Linked DNA regions of Notamacropus eugenii. The protein of the gene in region 2 binds, or shares a complex with, the protein of the main gene of each other region. Links are inferred from orthologs where the notes say so. Each region holds a gene or a part of one and is shown on either strand. Other genes may lie near its edges.

The links.
Region 1: the proteins of DNM1L (region 2) and MIEF2 are in contact, whole or in part, in a cryo-EM structure (PDB 5WP9), measured with the Homo sapiens proteins. The link is inferred for Notamacropus eugenii from reciprocal best matches to the Homo sapiens genes DNM1L and MIEF2. Residues at the interface, in NP_036192.2 of Homo sapiens: Asp190, Met191, Ala192, Thr193, Ser194, Leu197, Lys198, Ile199, Arg201, Glu202, Gly223, Thr224, Asp225, Asp228, Arg233, Val234; in NP_631901.2 of Homo sapiens: Val213, Asp214, Thr215, Val216, Arg218, Arg226, Leu230, Arg235, Val245, Gly246, Tyr248.

Annotation. Positions count from the first base shown.
Region 1 is NC_092874.1:335,796,628-335,805,510, reverse strand, and holds the start of MIEF2 (mitochondrial dynamics protein MID49), read right to left. Parts: upstream 3,884-8,883; 5' UTR 3,652-3,883; coding exon 3,543-3,651; intron 3,452-3,542; coding exon 3,427-3,451; intron 3,235-3,426; exon of another isoform or gene 3,082-3,234; intron 1-3,081. UniProt on the Homo sapiens protein: Mitochondrial outer membrane protein involved in the regulation of mitochondrial organization.
Region 2 is NC_092874.1:214,537,921-214,547,411, forward strand, and holds the start of DNM1L (dynamin-1-like protein), read right to left. Parts: upstream 3,830-9,491; 5' UTR 3,815-3,829; coding exon 3,692-3,814; intron 1-3,691. UniProt on the Homo sapiens protein: Functions in mitochondrial and peroxisomal division.

The DNA.
Region 1 (8,883 bases), about 120 Mb from region 2:
CTCCCTTTCAGTTCTCAGGGTCTATGATTTACTCATTCTCAAGGCATCTGGGCCTTGAGTGAAGTTGTCCAGGTAACCAAATACTACCACTCATCAATGCCAGAGAAATGAATCAGGCAGAGAGAGCTCAAGCCCCCACAAGTATTTTTGCCATGACCCTTGCCTTTCAGAGACTAAAAATAGAGCCTGGGTGGCTCTTGTGGTGTGGTGTACAGGAAGCTAGAACCACTGCCACCTGCTCTGCCCAAAGTCATAACTCTTAAGGGAGGAACACAGGAAAACGAAGGGATTCTTAGCTCAAGTCTTGGCTCTATGTCAACCTTAATGTATGGCCTTAGGCAAAACACTTCTCATCTTTCTATACTGTAAAATCTAGGATAATTCCTGACCTCCATCTTTATTAGCACTGTGATAAGGACAGATAGGAAAACACTATGGAAGTGGTATCCTCTCCTAAGGGGATTTGAAAGCACCCCATTGGCAGAGGCCAAGACTGGGTAAGAATGCTTTTTGACTAAATCAAACTATTAGAATGTACATCTATATCTAAGTGGGGTGTCTGTGACTGAAGCAAAATTTAGCTTACTGGCACATGTGGGTAACACAATAGCAGATAATAGTGTTTGTGGATAGACAGGCCTTACAAGCCCCAAAAGAAAGCCAATGTTTCTTCTCTGTCACAGCTCAGTTATCTCTTCAATCCATTCAATCTATGCTTGCTCCAACAGCCCAGAATCTTGTTCTGCTCTCCCTGAAAATGGTTTCTGCCTGAGAATCCCAGACTCCCACACAAAGGTTTTTGATGGGATTCAAGGAAGTAATCAGGTCCTGTTCCACTCAGTTCTAATGATTCAATCAAAAAGAGTCAAAAGCAAAGCTTTTGTTAATATCAAATTCACAGAGAGACAAGAGCACACCTACCCTGGGCTGTACTTCTCTACGCTGGAGCCAAATGAAATAGTATCAACTCTACTTTTTTACCAGGCAGATGGTAAAATAAAATAGGATTTTTTGCTTGGAGGCTTCTCACAAGATTCCAAAATCAGAGAAAAGGTGGGGCTAAAATGGACAAATACAGTACTTAGAAGTACTCACTGGGGTCTTTGGTCCAATGCTAATACCCTCTCACAGAACTGCTCCTACGTTCCATCCCTTAGTCCATTTTTCTCACTGTAGCAGGATGAGGTCAAACGTTTATAGACTTGGAGCTGGAAGGGACCTAAGCAGCTTCCAGTCCAAAACTCTTCATTTTACAGATTGGAAAGTAAGGGAGATTATGTTATTTACTTCAAGGACAATGTGAGAAATGAATATTTCTCTCTTATACTTTAATAATTATAATATTAGGACCAAAGTTCTTCCCCTTTTCTACTTCCTCATCTAGAAATCAACCAGTGTGGGAAATTTCTCTTAAGAGATTTATCCAGGCCAAGATCTAATCAGACAGTAAAAGAAATTCTAAGTTTGGGCTAAAGGATGCATTCCTGCTTATTATGTTAGCTTACAAATACGTCCAGAGAAAATGTTGACTCTCCCTATTATCAAGACAGGTGATATTAACTAATGTCTCTTTGACCAAGATTTGAGTGACCTAGGTCAAGTACCCCAAGATAGCCTACCTCCCATTTGATTAACCAATCAGGGTTGAGCAGGCACCCCTGGGGAACACCTCCTCTCTGAAATGTAGAAGAGGGATGGACAAATGGCCATTCTTTTATTAATAACCTGCTAGCCTTATTAATAAAATGATTAAATTACCCAGAAATTATGTCTCTCTAACTTTTTAAAGGGTCACAACAAAAAGGTATTAAGGATCTGAGGTGGGACTGGAACTCAGGTTTTCTGATTCCAGTCACTGCACCAAGAAGTCTAAACCTAGGAAGTGCTCTAGTGTTCTTTAAAGGAGACTCCAGAATAGTGCAAAAAACAACAAACCAAGAGTCAGGAGACCTGGATTGCAGTTTCTACTACTAACTGTGTGGCCACAAACAAGTCATTTCCCACTCTGAGGTGCCTTAATTTCCTTCTCTGTATAAAGAAGGGGTTAGGCTAGATGGTTCCTTGAAGCTAAGACATTCTAGTTTTCTGCAGAGGATAATTGTGCAAACATGACCTGTATTTTCAGAGACTGGTGGACAGTGGTTGGCCGGTAATCCTAGAGCTGTATCAGCCACTCTGGAGAACAGTCACTCACCCCAAGGGGCCCTCTCTCACAGGCACACAGACTGTACTTCAGAGGGTGAGAACTTATCAGGAAAGCTCCAGTATCCTCAGAAAGGATCTTCCAGGCCACTCCCATTCCCAGCAGGTAAGGCTGGGGAAGAGGGAGCCAGGCTAAGCCCAAGTAGGGTTCTTAATGTCCCCCTGGGGTTCATGAGGACAATCGGGCCGTCAGTATCCAGTTCCCCACAGTGAGTCTAAACAGCTCAGCCGCAGGCCCACAATTCAGCTGCTGGGCAAGAGGAACCAGTCAGCGTGGGAAGTACAGGAGTTCTGACCCTCCCAGTTAAAAACAAAGCTGACTCTAGCAAACACTCCAAACAACTAAGGGGGCCCTCTTTGGTGTAAAGGACTAAACTCCTCCCAGCTTTGCTAGGAGTACAAGTAGCTGCCTGACCTTGGGCAGTTTGCCGCCCCTTCTCTGGACTGAATTTCCCTTACTACAAAATGGATGGATCCTATATAGCAAAACCAGGCTCCGGATTACCGGCTCTCTAAAGTCCATTACCTAGGACTCACCTAAGAACCACAACAGAATGGGGGGCATTGATTCCTGACCCCCAGCCCCAAGTCGCACCTGGACCACTCCCAACTCCTCTCACCCCTCCTCCGCCCCCACCCAAACCTCTGCCCGCTCCCCCAGGCAGACCTCCACGTCCGTAATTCGCAGACCCGGCCCTGGTCCGTCCAGGGAGGCTTCCCAGCCCAGGCTTTGCAGGCTAGCACCCCGGAAGTCGTGGCTAAAGAGGGGCGGCCTCGCTCTGTGACCTTGGGCAGGTCCCTTGACCTCTCTGAACGTCCCAGCTCTGGATCTGCGATCTCCCCAAGATCCCTCTTCCTCTACCTCCGATGCCGGCTTACCTCCTATCCTTTCCAGGGCAGGAGGGCCTCGGGGCCCACCTAGGACGCGTGCCCCGCCCCGGTCAAGTCGGATCCCCGCAGGCACCGGGGGCGCCCCTGGTGTAAGGGGCGGGGAGGGCGGTGGGAGCATCCTTCTCAGCCTCGGGCTCCGGCGGGGCCGGCGCAGGCGCAGTCACCGCGGAGGCTCCCTTCTCCCCTCCCCCTGGGCCCCGGTGCGGGACAAGGACCCCCTGCTGGGCGAAGGGCTCCTCTCCCTCCTCGCACCTCCACACGCTCCCCCGCGCCCCGGAAAGGCCCCGGACGTCGGCCTTTGGGGCCCCTCGGACAGCGGAAGGCCCTTCCTACCTGCACTGCCGCTTCACCGCATCACCTGGGAAGAGAAGGCCCGGCCCACGGTGAGTCCCTCGTCCTCCTCCTCCTCTCCCCCGACTCCTAGACCCAGGGCCGGCCCCCTCTCTAACCTCCAACCTTCTCCTCCCAGCGCGCAGCCGCAAATTCGAAGCCAAGGGGGCGGAACCCTGACGCCCGGCTCGGGCCGGACGGACTACCTATGCGCCCAATCAGAGGCATGCCTTCCCGTCCCGCACGTTCCAAAACAGACCTCGAACGGCCAATCACCCAGAGGCCACGCCCCCTCCCTAACGGGCATTCCCGGCCGGGGCGAGGCGTCCCCGGGGGCTGCGGGGGCGTGTCTTCGGCGTTAAAGGCACAGGATTCAAAGAGCGGCCCGAAGGACCGCGGCAGCCCGTGGGGATTCCGGCTTGGAATGCCTGCGCTTCCTCCTACGGCGGAAGTGGTCGTTGTGATGAAACGCGTCTGTGACGTCACCTCCGGGCTCTCGAGAACTAGGCCTGGAGCACGTGGCAGTAGGAGGAGTCGGGGCTTGGTGACTTCATGGCTAAAGGCCGGCCCCGAGCGCCGGTGCTGGAGGCGCCTCGGACGCGCCTTGGGCGCGGCTCCGGGCCCAAGGTTCGGCTCCCCCGGGACCACACGGCTCTGAATCCCTCGGTGGTCTGGACAGTGACACAGAAAAAGGCCGAACAGCAGCCCCTGTCCTCAAGGCACGTGTAGTCTAACGAGAAGAAAACCTGAAACCACTGGGACAAATTGGGGAGGCCCAGAAGGCAGGCGCCGGCATTGAGGAGAACTGGGAGGGCTCCCTGGGAAGGTGGGGGACGCCGGGGACCTGGGGAGGTGACGCAGAGGAGGAGAGGGTCCCAGAAAGGAAGCGGAGCCTCTCCTTGCCCCGGATGGGGACGGTTACTGGGAATTCCGTCCCAAGTTGGGTCTGTTGAGGTTTAGGGGTGCTGGGACCCCGAGATGAGACGGGCAGGGCCTGCCTGAATGAATTGGCCCCAAGCTTTCAGCCAAAGATAAGGTTTGTTAGAGCGCAGGTAGAAGGGTGTGATTCTGAAGATTCGCCATCCAGGCTAGACTCTTAAGGGATCCAAGTACTGGTAATTTCTTGGAGGCGTGCTGGAGCTTATGTACAGGAAGACCGTGGGAAGGATCAGGCTCTAGAAGTGGCCAGTAGGCTGGGGTGACCGAAGGAGCGGGGTCTAGGGAGGATTTTGATGGCAGGAGCCGGTAGGCTGGAGTGACTGGAGCCTGAAAGCAGGGACCTAGACCAAGAGAATGGGGTCTAGATAGACTCAAGGGTGGGAGGTGGCTGGGGGTGAACCAGAGGTAACAGACAGTGGGGAGCTGGGCAACAGAGAACTGGGAGATTGGGTGTAGGCCATAGTGAAAGGCCAGATGAGGGGATGACTGGGATGCCTCAGGTGACCGACGGAGACTTGACCGTATGGAAAGTTCAGGGAGAGTTGGGGGCGGGGGGAGAGGTTCCAGAGCCCCTACCTGTCAGGTCCACAAAATAAAAAAAGTTTTACTCTTACCCTATGCTCCAGACTGATATTTCCCTCCCCTAATGTGATGGTTTATCAACTCTGTCTCTTCTTTTTAGGTGGGTATTGTAAGGCCAACCATGCCAGGCACTTTACAGGTAAAAGAAGTGGACAGCAATAACTTGGACCACTATTATCAATGTGAAAAGCAAATTTCTGAGACAAGCTTGTCCCTCCATTAGGAATGTGGGGGAAAATTACTGTTCAGGTAAAGGGTTGGGACCAACCTCTGAGGATCCTTACTTCTATGGTGAGAGTCTGTTATACTGAGATCAAATCCTGACCCCATGCAAAGGCCAGAGTGTATCTGAGTCCCAAAGAGCCAACTTTCAAAAATATGTATATATTGTTATTGGTTTTTTTTGTTTTTCATAATCTGTACTTTTTAGTGTATGTCCTTCATCTCTCAGAGAGCCATTACTTATAGTGCAGAATTAAAAAGAGAAAAAAATAACAGTTAAACCAATCAGGACAAGGAAAGAAGTCTGACATTATATGCAGTGTTCCACACCCATAGTCCTGACAACTTCTACAAAAAAGTTGCTTTCTCATATCTTTTATTTGGGGACAAGGTTAGCATTTAATTTTGAATCTTTTGTTATTTTTTCCATTTACAAAGTTGTAGCATACATTCCAAAGAGGGAGAGAACAAATGCATGTAGAAATAGATAACATATATAACATGAATAAGTACAAATATATACAAAGTAGTTAAATCCAAGGTACTTTGGGAACTTGAGCAGTAATGATTGAGGGAGTCAAGAAAGGCTTTATGCAGAAGGTGCTTGAACTGCCTCTTAAAGGAAGTAAGGGTCTCTAATTGGCAGAGTTAAGAAGAGAGAAAATACATTCTAGACATGTGGGTCAGACAACCAGTGCAAAGGCAGGAAGATAAGACATTGTGTGTGAGGAACAATTAAAATTCCAGTTGGGCTGGATCTCATGGTGTAGCAGGGGGATAAATGTCTGGTGAGTCTAGAGAAGTTTATATTTTTATCCTATTGGCAATAGGAAACCACTGGAGCTGGTTGAGTAGGAGAGTCAAATAGAATAAGGAAATTACTTGGGCTATGGGTTTGGAAGATGGACAGGAGTGGGGAGAGGATTGAGGCTGCTGTAATAATCTAGGTGAGAGGTGATTAGAATCTGAACAAACGTTGGTAGTTGTATGAGTGAGAAATTGGGTCAGATGTAAGAGATGTGATGGTAAAAATGGCATGATTTTACAACTGATTGGATATATAGAGTAAAGGAGAGTGAAAAGTTGAGGATGATGCTGAAATTACAAACCCATGAGACTGGAAGGATAATGGTACCTTTGACAGAAAGAAGGGAAATTTGGAAGAGTGGAAAAGATGATTTTAACTTTGGGGATGTTGAGTTCAAGATATTTTTGGGACAACTGATTTGAAATGTCCATTGGGCAATTAGTTATTCATGGCTGGAATTTAGGGTAGAAACTGGGACTGGATATATTGACCTTGAACTCATCTGCAGAAGGATGATAGTTAAAGCCATATGGGCTGAAGAGGCAAACAGTACAAACTATTGAAAAACAATGTATGATTTCAATAAAGTTGCAGGCTTCCAAATAAACTCAAAAAATCAAGAGCATTTCTGTATAGGAGGAAAAATCCAGAAAGCAAAAATAGAAAGAGAAATTTCGTTCAAAATAATTACGAAATTTAAATATTTGGGAGTCATTCTACCAAAGAACACCCAATACTTGAATCAATACAGTTATAAAACAAACACTTCTTAAAGAGATAAAGAACAACTTAAATAGTGGAAAGGATATTCAGTATTCACAGCTGGATCATACCAATGTAATAAAAGTTACAATACTAGTTGAGTTTCAGGGGTGCTAGGATCCCAAAATAGCGACAAGTGAGTCCTGCCCAAATAAACTCTATCCCAAACCTTCTTTCAGCCAATGACAAGTTTTATTAGAACACCAACTGGGTGAACATAATTCTAAAAATCTACCACATTGGCCAGACTTTTAAGGAATCTGAGCATTGGCTTAGACTCTTAAGGAATCTGAGAAGACACCCTTCCTTGTAATTGTTATAGGACAATCTATTCTCTTTACCTTTATAGAGATAGACAGTGGAGGCATCCTTGAACTCCTGGAGGATAAACTCCTCTTGCCATATTTCTGGAAAATTTCAGTCAACTTTTGTATGAGCAATGAATCCCCTACCTTGTAAATCTCAGTTGGAAGAGAATCAGCACCATGTGTTTTGTCCCAGGAAAGGAGCCTACTACTTCTTCGGTTAGGGAGGGATTGATTTCAACCTGAGGTAAATGGTCACTGGCTTCAGCATTGATTGATGATGGTCTGTTGAGAACCTTATGGAAGTGTTCAGCCCATGATCTCCCTAAGATCATGTCCTTATCACTAATCAATGTGCTTCCATCAGCACTGAGTAGTTGAAATGAATCGTAGATCTTTGTCCCATAAATAACCTTCAGGGCATCACAAAAGTGTTTTGGATTGTTACTGTCAGCATAAAACTGAATTTCATTTGCCTTCCTGCCGAGCCAAGAATCCTGCATCTTTCTAAGCTTTGCGTGTACTTCAGTTTTGATGGAATTAAATGCTGCCTTCTTAGAGATGAATGAACTGTCCTGCTGGTAAACCTTGTGAAGTTCTCGTTTTTTGTTTAGCAGTTTCTGAATTTCCCTATCATTTTCATCAAACCAGTCTTGGTGTTTGCGAGTGTTCTGACCCAGATGAGCAAATACAGTACTATACACCAAATCTCTGAAAGCTGCCCACTCCCTTTCTGCCCCACTGTTGCCAACTGTGTGTTAACACAACTTTCCCTCCAAATTAGTCACAAACTGTTTTCACTCAGAGATGAGCTCTAATTTGCTGACATGAATTCGATAGTCATTTTGCCTTGGGGATACCCCTTTTGTTGAATGTGAATATTTAGCTAGGAGAGGATAAGTCTGTGATCAATTCTCACTGTCACATCCTGTCTGTCTCTTCTTACAATCACATAGTCTATTAGATGCCAGGGTTTGTTGCCAGGGTGCGTCCACAAAGTTTTATTGTGTTCACATAAATAGAAGGTCATGTGATGCACAAGTCTTCAGTAGCAAATGACCATTGCTGCTACTGTTTCCAACTCCATTCCTCCCTAGGACTCCCTGCCAAGTCTGGTAGTCTCTTAGTCATTGCTGGGAAGATTCTTGCCAGAGTCCTCCTTGACAGGCTGAACCTTCACCTGGAAGATGGTCATTTCCCTGAGAGCCAATGTGGCTTCGGAAAGGGCCGAGGAACAGTTGATATGGTGTTTGCTGCCCAACAGCTCCAAGAGAAATGCCAGGAGCAGAACAGAGGTCTGTACACAACATTTGTAGATCTGACCAAGATCTTTGACACTATTAGTCGTGAGGGCTTATGGAAAATTATGTCAAAATTTGGTTGCCCAGAGAAGTTCATCAATATTTTATGTCAATTTCATGATGGCTTGTTTGCCCAGGTTCTGGATAGTGAACAATGCTCTCATGCCTTCCCAGTCACCAGTGGAGTGAAACAAGGCTATATGCTCGCTCCTATGTTTTTTAGCATGATGTTTTCAGCCATGTTGTCAAATGCTTTCAAGATCAGCTTAATTTACTGCGCTGATGGTAAATTCTTCAACTTGAAAAGGCTATAAGCCAAGACAAAAGTAGAGCAAGTGTTGGTGCATGATTTTCTATTTGCAGGTGATTGTGTACTCACTGCAACCTCTGAAGGGGAGACACAACAAAGTATGGATCTGCTGCTTGTGCTAACAACACCAAGAAAACACAGGTGCTCCATCAGCCACCACCACACTATCCAGACATGTTCCATCAGTTATAGCAAATGAAGAAGTTTTGAATGCCATGGATAAGTTCACTT
Region 2 (9,491 bases):
AAAATTTTAAGAGAATGAAATCATATTATCCTTCACAATATGGCTGGAGTGGGAGTGATCAACTTACAACAGAAAATGTTACAAATGTAACAAAATGTTACCTCCTTTCCCGGGTTTACCTTAAATGCCTTTTCCCCCTTCCTTTTTAAAGTCTTTATTAAAAGGAATCCTAAAAGGCAGGGAGAGAAATGAAGGTGAATAAAAATATCAGTGTAATTCTAGCTCTTGTAGCCTCTTCTACAAAAGCTCTAACTACTGTTACTGTTATAAAAGACACAGCATCTTGACATAATGGCAAGTGTATGTTGTACTCTGGTATTAGTTGACTGTGATGACTGACAAGAAATGGAGTGAAGTACACCTACAGTTTAATGGTCATGCTATGAACAAACTGAGAGAGTACATCACGAGAAGTTTCAAAGCTAAAAGAAACTGTAAGAAGGCAAAGAAAAGAGAATGAAGAGACCTTTTTATTTATGGAACTCTCTATCTTGCAGAGAGAATTCTTGAGAAAGGACTTTAATTGATATCCTTAAAGAAAGGCCTGTGTTTTTAGAAGCAAAGACATCTGCAGTTAAATGGTTTGAAGTGATTCTAGCTGTGATACTCTCACAGCTAAAACATTGTAAATATTTACCTGTCTGTGTTATGACTGGCAACATTAACAAATTATATGTAGCCAGTAATTAACTGAGCAGATCAGGAGTTCTCATATATAAAGATATGAGCCACCACTTATAGAAGGGGGTTTCTCTAGCTTATTAAAATATTCAATTAAGCTGGGGTGAGGGATCAGAGCTTAAATGACGCAATTTAGTAATTAATGGGGAAACATTTAAATATGATTCTGGATGGGACTATGTAAGCTACAAGTGAGTAGTAAATCCCAAAAAATTCAGCTACATAAAATATGTAAAAATAAATGTGATATTTCATGTACTAATGTAAATAACTACAAGGCAATTTTAATCAAGTGTATTGGTATTTAATATCAATTATCTAATAAATCACTGTTATGAGACTGTAGCATTTGGAGAGAGAGCTGGCTCCAGAGTCCAGTAGACCTGGGTTTAAGGCTCACCTCTGACAAATAATGGCTGTGTAACCTTGGGCAAGTCACTAACCTTCTCTGACCCTCAGTTTCATATCTAAAATGAAATGGTTGGAATACATGACCCTTAGAGATCTAAATGCATGATCTAAGAAATGGAGGCATCAATTATAGATTTTTTCAAGAAGTCACTGGTTTTCACAAAGGTTTTTTTTTCTCTTTTCTCATAGCTCCTCCCAATTTAATGGCTAGTTCATGAATATATTCATCAGTATACTGAGAGAAATAAACTCCATTAAGTGTAAGATAAATCCTTCTTGTTCTTAAACTATTTATGTTGACACATTATATGCCTGATTCTTTGTCTTCTTGCTAAGTTCATATTTCTCCTATATACACAGAGCTTTAAAATTGATGGAAAGTTTCTGGTTCGCAGTGGCCTTTTACAGCCAGGAAACAGTTCCAAAATAGTTCCCCATGATACTATGTAACTATTAAAATTCTTAAATATAGACTATAAAATGGAAGGGTCCTTAAAATCGCAAATTCAGAAAACAATGGTAAACAATAAAATTTACTGAAACCTGAAGATGACTTATTCCTTTAATATCTCAAAAGGTACTTTAAGAACTTATAGTTTCACAGAATTATTAATACAAGCATTAATTATTACATGTTCTTGTTGTTCAATGACTTCTGACTTCATGACCGTTTGGTATTTTCTTGACAAAGATACGTGAGTGGTTTATCATTTCCTTCTCCAGCTCATTTTACAAATAAGAAAACTGAGTCAAACAGGTTTGAATAACTTGTCTAGGATCAGCACATCTACTAAGTGATCTGAGGTCAGATTTAAATTTACAAAGATAAGTCTTCCTGATTCCAAGCCCAGCATGCTATCCTCTGCACCATCTAGCTGTCTCAATTATTATGTATCTCACTCTCTCTCTATATATATATGCAAAATTCAACTTTTTTTGTATTTAACCAAACCTGGGGTTTTATTTTTGTAGGGAACATGAGTTCCTTACAAAGGGAAGGAGGACACTCCCTCCCACCAATATAACTTTGCAAATGTTAGAATACTTAGAGAGTAGCACAGAAAAGTTAAGGACATGCCCAGGGTCATATAGTTAAGTCAGCATATGTCAAAAGAGGGACTTGGAAATCAGATTTTCTTGATCCCAAAGTCGGCTCACTGTGCACTTCACCATGCTGTCACATTGACTGAATATTATGACCACTAATTCTATAATATAGGGTTGAAAGAACAGTGTTTAAAAACCAGGAGGCAAGGATTCTTATTCATGGTTCTACCATTATATGATCTTTAGCAAGTCATTTATCTCTCTGAGCTTGTTTCCTTATGAGTAAAATGAAGGAACTTGCACAACTAACCTCTAAGATCCCTTTTCAGTCAAACTCTACAATTTGGTCTACATGCTGTTTAAAAGTCCCTTCGCAGATTAGAGGGGGGAAATTGGTTAATGGTTACTGTAGTTACCATTTTGAAGCAATATTGTCTTTGTATTTTCTCTGTATCAAATCCAACTATCTCCAAAAATTCTCACATTGTCTCCTCCTCTCTAATCTCACTGTCACCACTCCTGGTCAGGGCCCACACCACCCCTCCCAACTGCTCACACTCTTTAAGTTTCCTCTTCTACAAGGCTGTCAAAATAATTTTCCTCAAGCCCAAATCTAACCTACCTCCCATATCAAATTCCAGTGTCTCCTCCCAATCATTTCCAGGATCACATACAAACTTCTGTGTTTGGCACTTAAAGCCCTGCACAACCTGGCCCCAGAATACCTATTTCAGTCTTATCACCACTGTCTCTCCTACAGAATACTCCATTTCCAATCTCCATGAGTTTGCCCTTTTTGTTTTCCAAGTTCACGTGTCCCCTTCCATATAAAGCCTTTCCTTATCTTCTCTCCCCCTCAAAAACAAATTACCTATTTCTTTCCATATATATTATACAGATCATAAATAAACGCACTATAAATATACTCTCATGAACTGTTATTAGGAAACGAAAACATGTAGATAGCTTCTCAGGTCTTCAGTTCACAACAAAAACCAACATACGATTCTACTTCACCCCTTATTCCAGCAAAGTACTAGGGAAAAACAAGACAGAGACCTTTCCATCTTTCCACTCTCCCTAATTCACTAAGGCACATTAGGGAATATGACTTCCTATACTTTAAAGCATTCGCTTCCACAATTCTGTGAGCAGGCCAGCGTGGATTGCCCAGTCTCACAGTGGGAAGAACATTTATGGCAGTAAAGTGTTTTATCAGAGAAGGTAAAAACCACGCCCTGCAGAGGCGAACCCAGGTGACCCTCGCCAGCACCACAGCGGGGGGTAATGGGGGGGAGTGTTATGGTGTGAGGCCAGTGTAGGGGACAGCGTGCGCGCCAGCGTGGGAGTGGGGATGGGGGATGGTGCCCCGTGCGCGTGCGCGTAATGGCCAAGCTTTTCAAGAATCCCGGAAGGTGAAACTTCACAAGGCTCGGATGAACCCTGAAGCCCTCTCACATTCTGCTGCTCTGATCCATAATTCGCTTTGCGGCCCAGGGTGAGCCCGAGAGGTGAGAAAAGGAAAACCAAGCACCGAGACTGCCGAGCAAACTCGGGCACCGATCCTGAGCTCCTGGGCGGCTTCCCCTTCCACGCACCCCGCTTGTCCCTCAGTTGCCCTTGGAAACCGAGGGCCCTCCCCAGGGCACCTTCCCTGCTCATTCCACACCACCATAGCTCCCCGGACCGGCGCCGCGCCGAGCCGAGGCGACTCCGCCTACCAGGATCCCTCCCAGTCCCCAGGGAGGCCCAAACAACCGGATGAAAGAGTAGCTGCAGGGTGCAAAAGGCCGGGCCCCCCAGCTCCACCCAACCCCACCCTGCCCCGCCTGGCCCTGCCCTGAGGCCTAGAGGCGGCCTAGCCTGCTGTAGTGCAGCGGCCCAGCCAGCCCAGGCCCCAGCATTACCTGGGTTCCAACTACGACGATCTGGGGTAGCTGGATGATGTCGGCGCCCACGGTGTTAAAAACGTCCTGGAGCTTGTTGATAACTGGGATCAGCGCCTCCATGGTTCTTGGAACGCAAGGCCCCTGACCCGCCGGGCAGAAGCAATGAATGAGGCCGGGCCCGGAGTTCACCTCCACCTTCTAGTCGCTTTCCTCCTCCCCCTCTTCTTCCTCCTCCTCTAGAGCCAGCACCCATTGGACTTGGTCCGCCCCTTTACTTACTCCCTCCCATCAAGCTGTGCGCCAAAAAGGGGTGTGGACAGGGACTACAGAAGAGAGTCACAAAGGCTGACGGGAATTGTAGTCCGGGGAGAAAGAAAGGGTGGGTGGGGAGAAACTGCTCTGGGTGCTTTTACAAGTTTGCCTGTTGTGGTAACAAATCAGAATTACAGGTTCTTGGGGTTAAGAGCTGGGAGATCCGTTTTCAGCACGAGGAAACTGATCAGTATTTCATTACCTTTAATTTGCTAATAAAGACTACTTCAAATTGTTTGAGAGGTTGAGGACATATACATATATATATACATATGTGTGTATGCATTATGACTTATGTGTTGTGTATACACATATGTTTATATACACATATATTTATATGTAATACATATTTGTGTTACTCCTTTAAGGAGAGGGCCCCCTGAACTTCTCGGGATAAAACATACCCCACTGGAGCATCATGCTGCAGACTTGGACTCTTCTGCCTCCTGCCTGAGACCCCCATTCGGCACAGAACTGAGACACCTCATAGCTTTAGGACGCCAATTAACTTTGTTGATTTCTTGGGGCTGCAGAGGGTCCTTCTTTCAAAAAAAAAAAAAAAAGACCATTGAGTCAGGAAGAACCTAGTCAGTTTCAGGGAGAGGGAATTTCAGCTCTAGGTCTGTCCTATACAGTTGTTACCATGGGAAAATTGAAAAAAAAATATGCAGAATTTGGAAACAGGACATAGGTTCTAATCCCAGTTCTGCCACTTCATAGCTGTGCTAATCACTTCAGCTCTTTTAGCCTCATTTTCCTCATCTGGAACAGGAAGGCATATGACTCTAAATATATAATCCTGTACTCTTATAACGTGTGCCTGGAAATTCTGGTGAAGAGAAAGGAGAGAGGTTCTTTTCCCCTTCTGCTAGATGTACTTTCTCCACACCCCTACAACCTCAAGAACCTATGGCAGCACATAGCAGGACTTAGGCTGATTACCTGATTGTTAGCCCGAGTTGAAGCCTCAGATCCTGGCTACCTGTTGTCAATTGTTTCTCATTCCCTGCATAAAGCTATTCAAGCAGCAATCCTGAGATAGATGTTTCCTTCTTTGGAGGGAGCCTGATTATTTTGAGAGGTAAAGAGTTCCTGAGTCCCTCATTTGGAGCCAGCTACAATCAATCAATAATCATTTATTAAGCACTTAATGTATACCGGACACTAGGCTGAGTCCTGGAGGACTTAAAAAAGGGAACAAAAAGAGGAAAATGACAATCCTTGCCCTCAGGGAATTTGCAGTCTAATAGGGAACGCAACATACAAACAAATATATAAAGAAAAATGGGAAATAATTAACAAAGGAAAGGCATTAGGAGTTAAGAGAATTAGGAAAGGCTTCCTGTAAAAGATGGGATTTTAGTTGAGATTTAAAAGAAACCAGGAAAGTCAGTAGGCAGTTTTGAAGAGGGAAAACATTCTAGGCATGGAGGACAGCCGGAGAAAATGCCCTTAGCCAAGAGATGTGCCTTATTTTTGGAAGAGCCAGGAGGCCAGTATCACTGGATCAAAGAATACATGGCAAGGAGTATGGCATAAGAAGTTTGGAAAGGTAGGAATGGGTAGGTTATGCAAAGCATTTTTTTATTTGATCCTGACTGCTATCAGTAGCCACTGGTGTTTCTTGAGGAAGGGACAGACATGGTCAAAACAGTGCTTTAGGAAAACACTTTAATGGCTATATGGATGAATTGGATTAGGGAAAGACCTCAAGTCTGAGAGAAATGATTATTAAATAACCAAGTATTAGGGAGACCAGTGATTTTTTCTCATCTTCATTTGGAGATTAGATCAAAGCTTAGTTCTCTGAAGAAAAGGGCTGATGATGAGATGATATCTTGGAAGTGTTGACCTACTCAACGAAAGAACCTTACAAAGAATTTAATCTATGGTTCTATGTCCAAAAAGGAGTGATCAGAGTCACAAGTCCCAGCCCCTCATTAGAATAGATCCATCTCTCATTATAATATTCATTCTTCACATTGATTGTTAACCAATCAGATTTGATAGTCACCCTCAGGTACACCCACTCTTCCAAGGGCATAAACATTGAGTGGATTGCATGAGAGGTCTATGATATTCAAGAAAGCCCCTGAGCAATTATTGCTGGCATGATTAATAAAATAATTATCCAAAACTATGTCTCTTGAAGTTTTTATATGTCATAAGTCTTTGGTGGCAGATCCACCAGCAGTCTATTGGAATTATCCAAGTGTGACGTGATAAGAGCCTATGCTATAGTGATGGTAGTATCAAAGGAGAGAAAGGAATGTCTGTGAGAAATGCTGAAGAACTGAAATTGATAAGCCTTGACAATAGCTTGGATATATAGAGAATATGAGATATAGAAGTTACTAACTCTTTGGATGTGAGCCTGAGGGTCAAAGAGATGGTGTTGCCCTCTACAGTTACAGGGAAGGGGGTGGAGAGGAAATAATGAGTTTTGGACATGTTTAGTTAGTGTCTACTTGGACATCCATTTTGAGATGTCTAAAAAGCAATGGGAAATGAAAGAAAGTGAGAAGAGAGGTTGATACAGAATAGGTAGACTTGAGAATCAAACATGGAGATGGTAATTTAATCCATGTGAACGGATGAGATCTCCAAGTGAAGTGGTATAGGAGAAGAGAAAAGGAGAGAGGATAAGAACCCTGAGGGACACCTATGGATAGAGGACATGATCTGGAGGAGGATCCAGCAAAGGAGAATGAAAAGAAGCTGTCAGATAGGAAGGAGGAAAATCAGAAGAATGTAGTGTTCCAAAAATCTAGAGAAAGGAAGAGAGGGTGATCCTCAGTCTCAAAAACTGCAGAGATATCAAGGAGAAGGAGGATTGAAAAAAGGCCATTGGATCAGGCAATTAAGAGATCACTGGTAACCTTTGAGAGAGAAGTGCTAGTAGAATGATGTCAGAAGCCATATTGTAAGAGGTTAAGAAGAAAGTGAGAGAAGAGAAAATGGAAGCATCTATTGTGGAGGGCCTTTTTGAAGAGTTTAGTTATAAAAGACAGAAGAAATACTGGATTACAGTTACTGTGGATGAAGGATCAGATGAGTTTGGTTTTTTTGAGAAGGGGAAAACATGGGGCATGTTTGTAGGCAGTAAGAAATGAGCCAGTAAAAAGGGAAAGGTAAAAATAAATAAGAGGGGGGATAGCAAAGGGAGCAAGATATTGGAGGAGACAGGATAGAATGGAATTGCTTGAACAGGTAGAGGAGTTAGCCTTGGTAAGGAAAAAGCCTTCTTTATCATTTGAGACAGTTAAAGAAGATAGAAGCAGAAGTCATCTGAATAATATGAGAAAGAGGATGGTGAAAAATCTCAATTTTTTCTCTAAAATATGAGGCCAAATTTACAGGGGCTGGGAACCTGCCGCCTCTAGGTCCAAGTCCTGACCTATGTCTTGCCACTACACTCCAGTGACTGGGGAGGAGAGAGCGAGGCTGGTAACTTTGCAAGCCCTGTTTCACTTATATCGAATTCACTTGCAAGTCAAGGCTTCACCCTCCTGATGTCATTGGGCCTCTGAGAAAAAAGGAGGCGCAATAGTCTGTGAGTAGTAATAATGATCAGTTCCAGTTGGGCAATGATGCTATATCCTCCATCCTCCTCCATCCCCGCATTCCTGGTAATAAGTCCTACCTGGTCATAATGTACTTACCATTCTCATGGTAAGTCACTGTAATCTTTTTGCTAATATTTTATTGAACACTTTTGCATCTATATTCATTAGGGAAATTGGTCTACATTTTTCTTTCTCTGTTTTGACTCTTCCCAGTTGAGGTATCAGGACTGTATTTGTATCATAAAAAGAATTTGGTAGTATTCCTTCTTTGTCTATTTTCCCAAATACTCTATATAGTATTAGAATTAATTGTTCTTCAAACGTTTGGTAGAATTCACTTGTACATACATCCATCTGGCCCTGGAGATTTTTTCTTTTTCATTGATGGTTTGTTCAGTTTCTTTTTCTGAAATGAGGTTATTGAAGCATTTTATTTCCTCTTCCATCAATCTGGGCCATTTAAGTGTTTGTAAAAATTTATCCATTTCACTGAGATGGTCAAATTTATGAGCATACAGTTGGGCAAAATAGTTCCTAATTATTGTTTTAGTTGCCTTTTCATTGGTGTTGAATTCACCCTTTTCATGTTTGATACTAATAATTTGGTTTTATTCTTTTTTAAAAATCAAATTAAACAAAGTTTTAGCTATTTTATTGGTGTTTTTTTTTTCATAAAACCAGCTCTTAGTTTTATTAGTTCAGTAGTTTTCTTAATTTCAATTTTATTAATCTCCTCTTTGGTTTTCAGAATTTCTAATTTGGTATTTAATTGGAGATTTTTAATTTGTTCTTTTTCTAGCTTTTTTTAGTTGTATGCTCAATTCATTGACCTCCTCTTTCTCTGTTTTATTCATGTGAACATTTAGAGATGTAAAATTTCCCCCTAAAAACCACTTTCACTACATCCAACAAGTTTTGGTATGTTGTCTCAATGTCATTCTCTTGGATGAAGTTGTTGTTTCTATGATTTGTTGTTTGACCCACTCATTGTTTAGGATTAGATTATTTAGTTTCCAACTTTTAGTCTATCTATCCATGTCCCTTCATTACATATAATTTTTATTGCATCGTGATCTGAAAAGGATACATTTAATATTTATGCTTTTCTGCATTGGATTGTGAAGTTTTTACGCCATAGTACATGGTCAATTTTTGTGTAAGTGTGCCATGTACACACTGGATAAGGTATATTCCTTTCTATCCCCATTCAGTTTTCTCCAGTGGTCTACGATATATAACTTTGAGAATAAGGTATATTCCTTTCTATCTCCATTCAGTTTTCTCCAGTGGTCTACGATATATAACTTTTTAAAAATTCTATTCATCTCCTTAACTTCTTTCTTGTTTATTTTGTGGTGAGATTTATCTAGTTCTTAGAGGGGGAGGTTGAAGTCCCCTACTAGTATGGTCTTCTTGTCTGTTTCTTCCTGTAACTCCTTACTGCTCCTCTAACAATTTGGATGCTATACCACTTGGTGCATATATGTTTAGTAATGATATTATTTCATTGTTTATGATACCTTTTAACAGGATATAGTTTCATTCCTCATCTCTTTTAATTAGATCTGTTTTGGCTTTTGTTTTG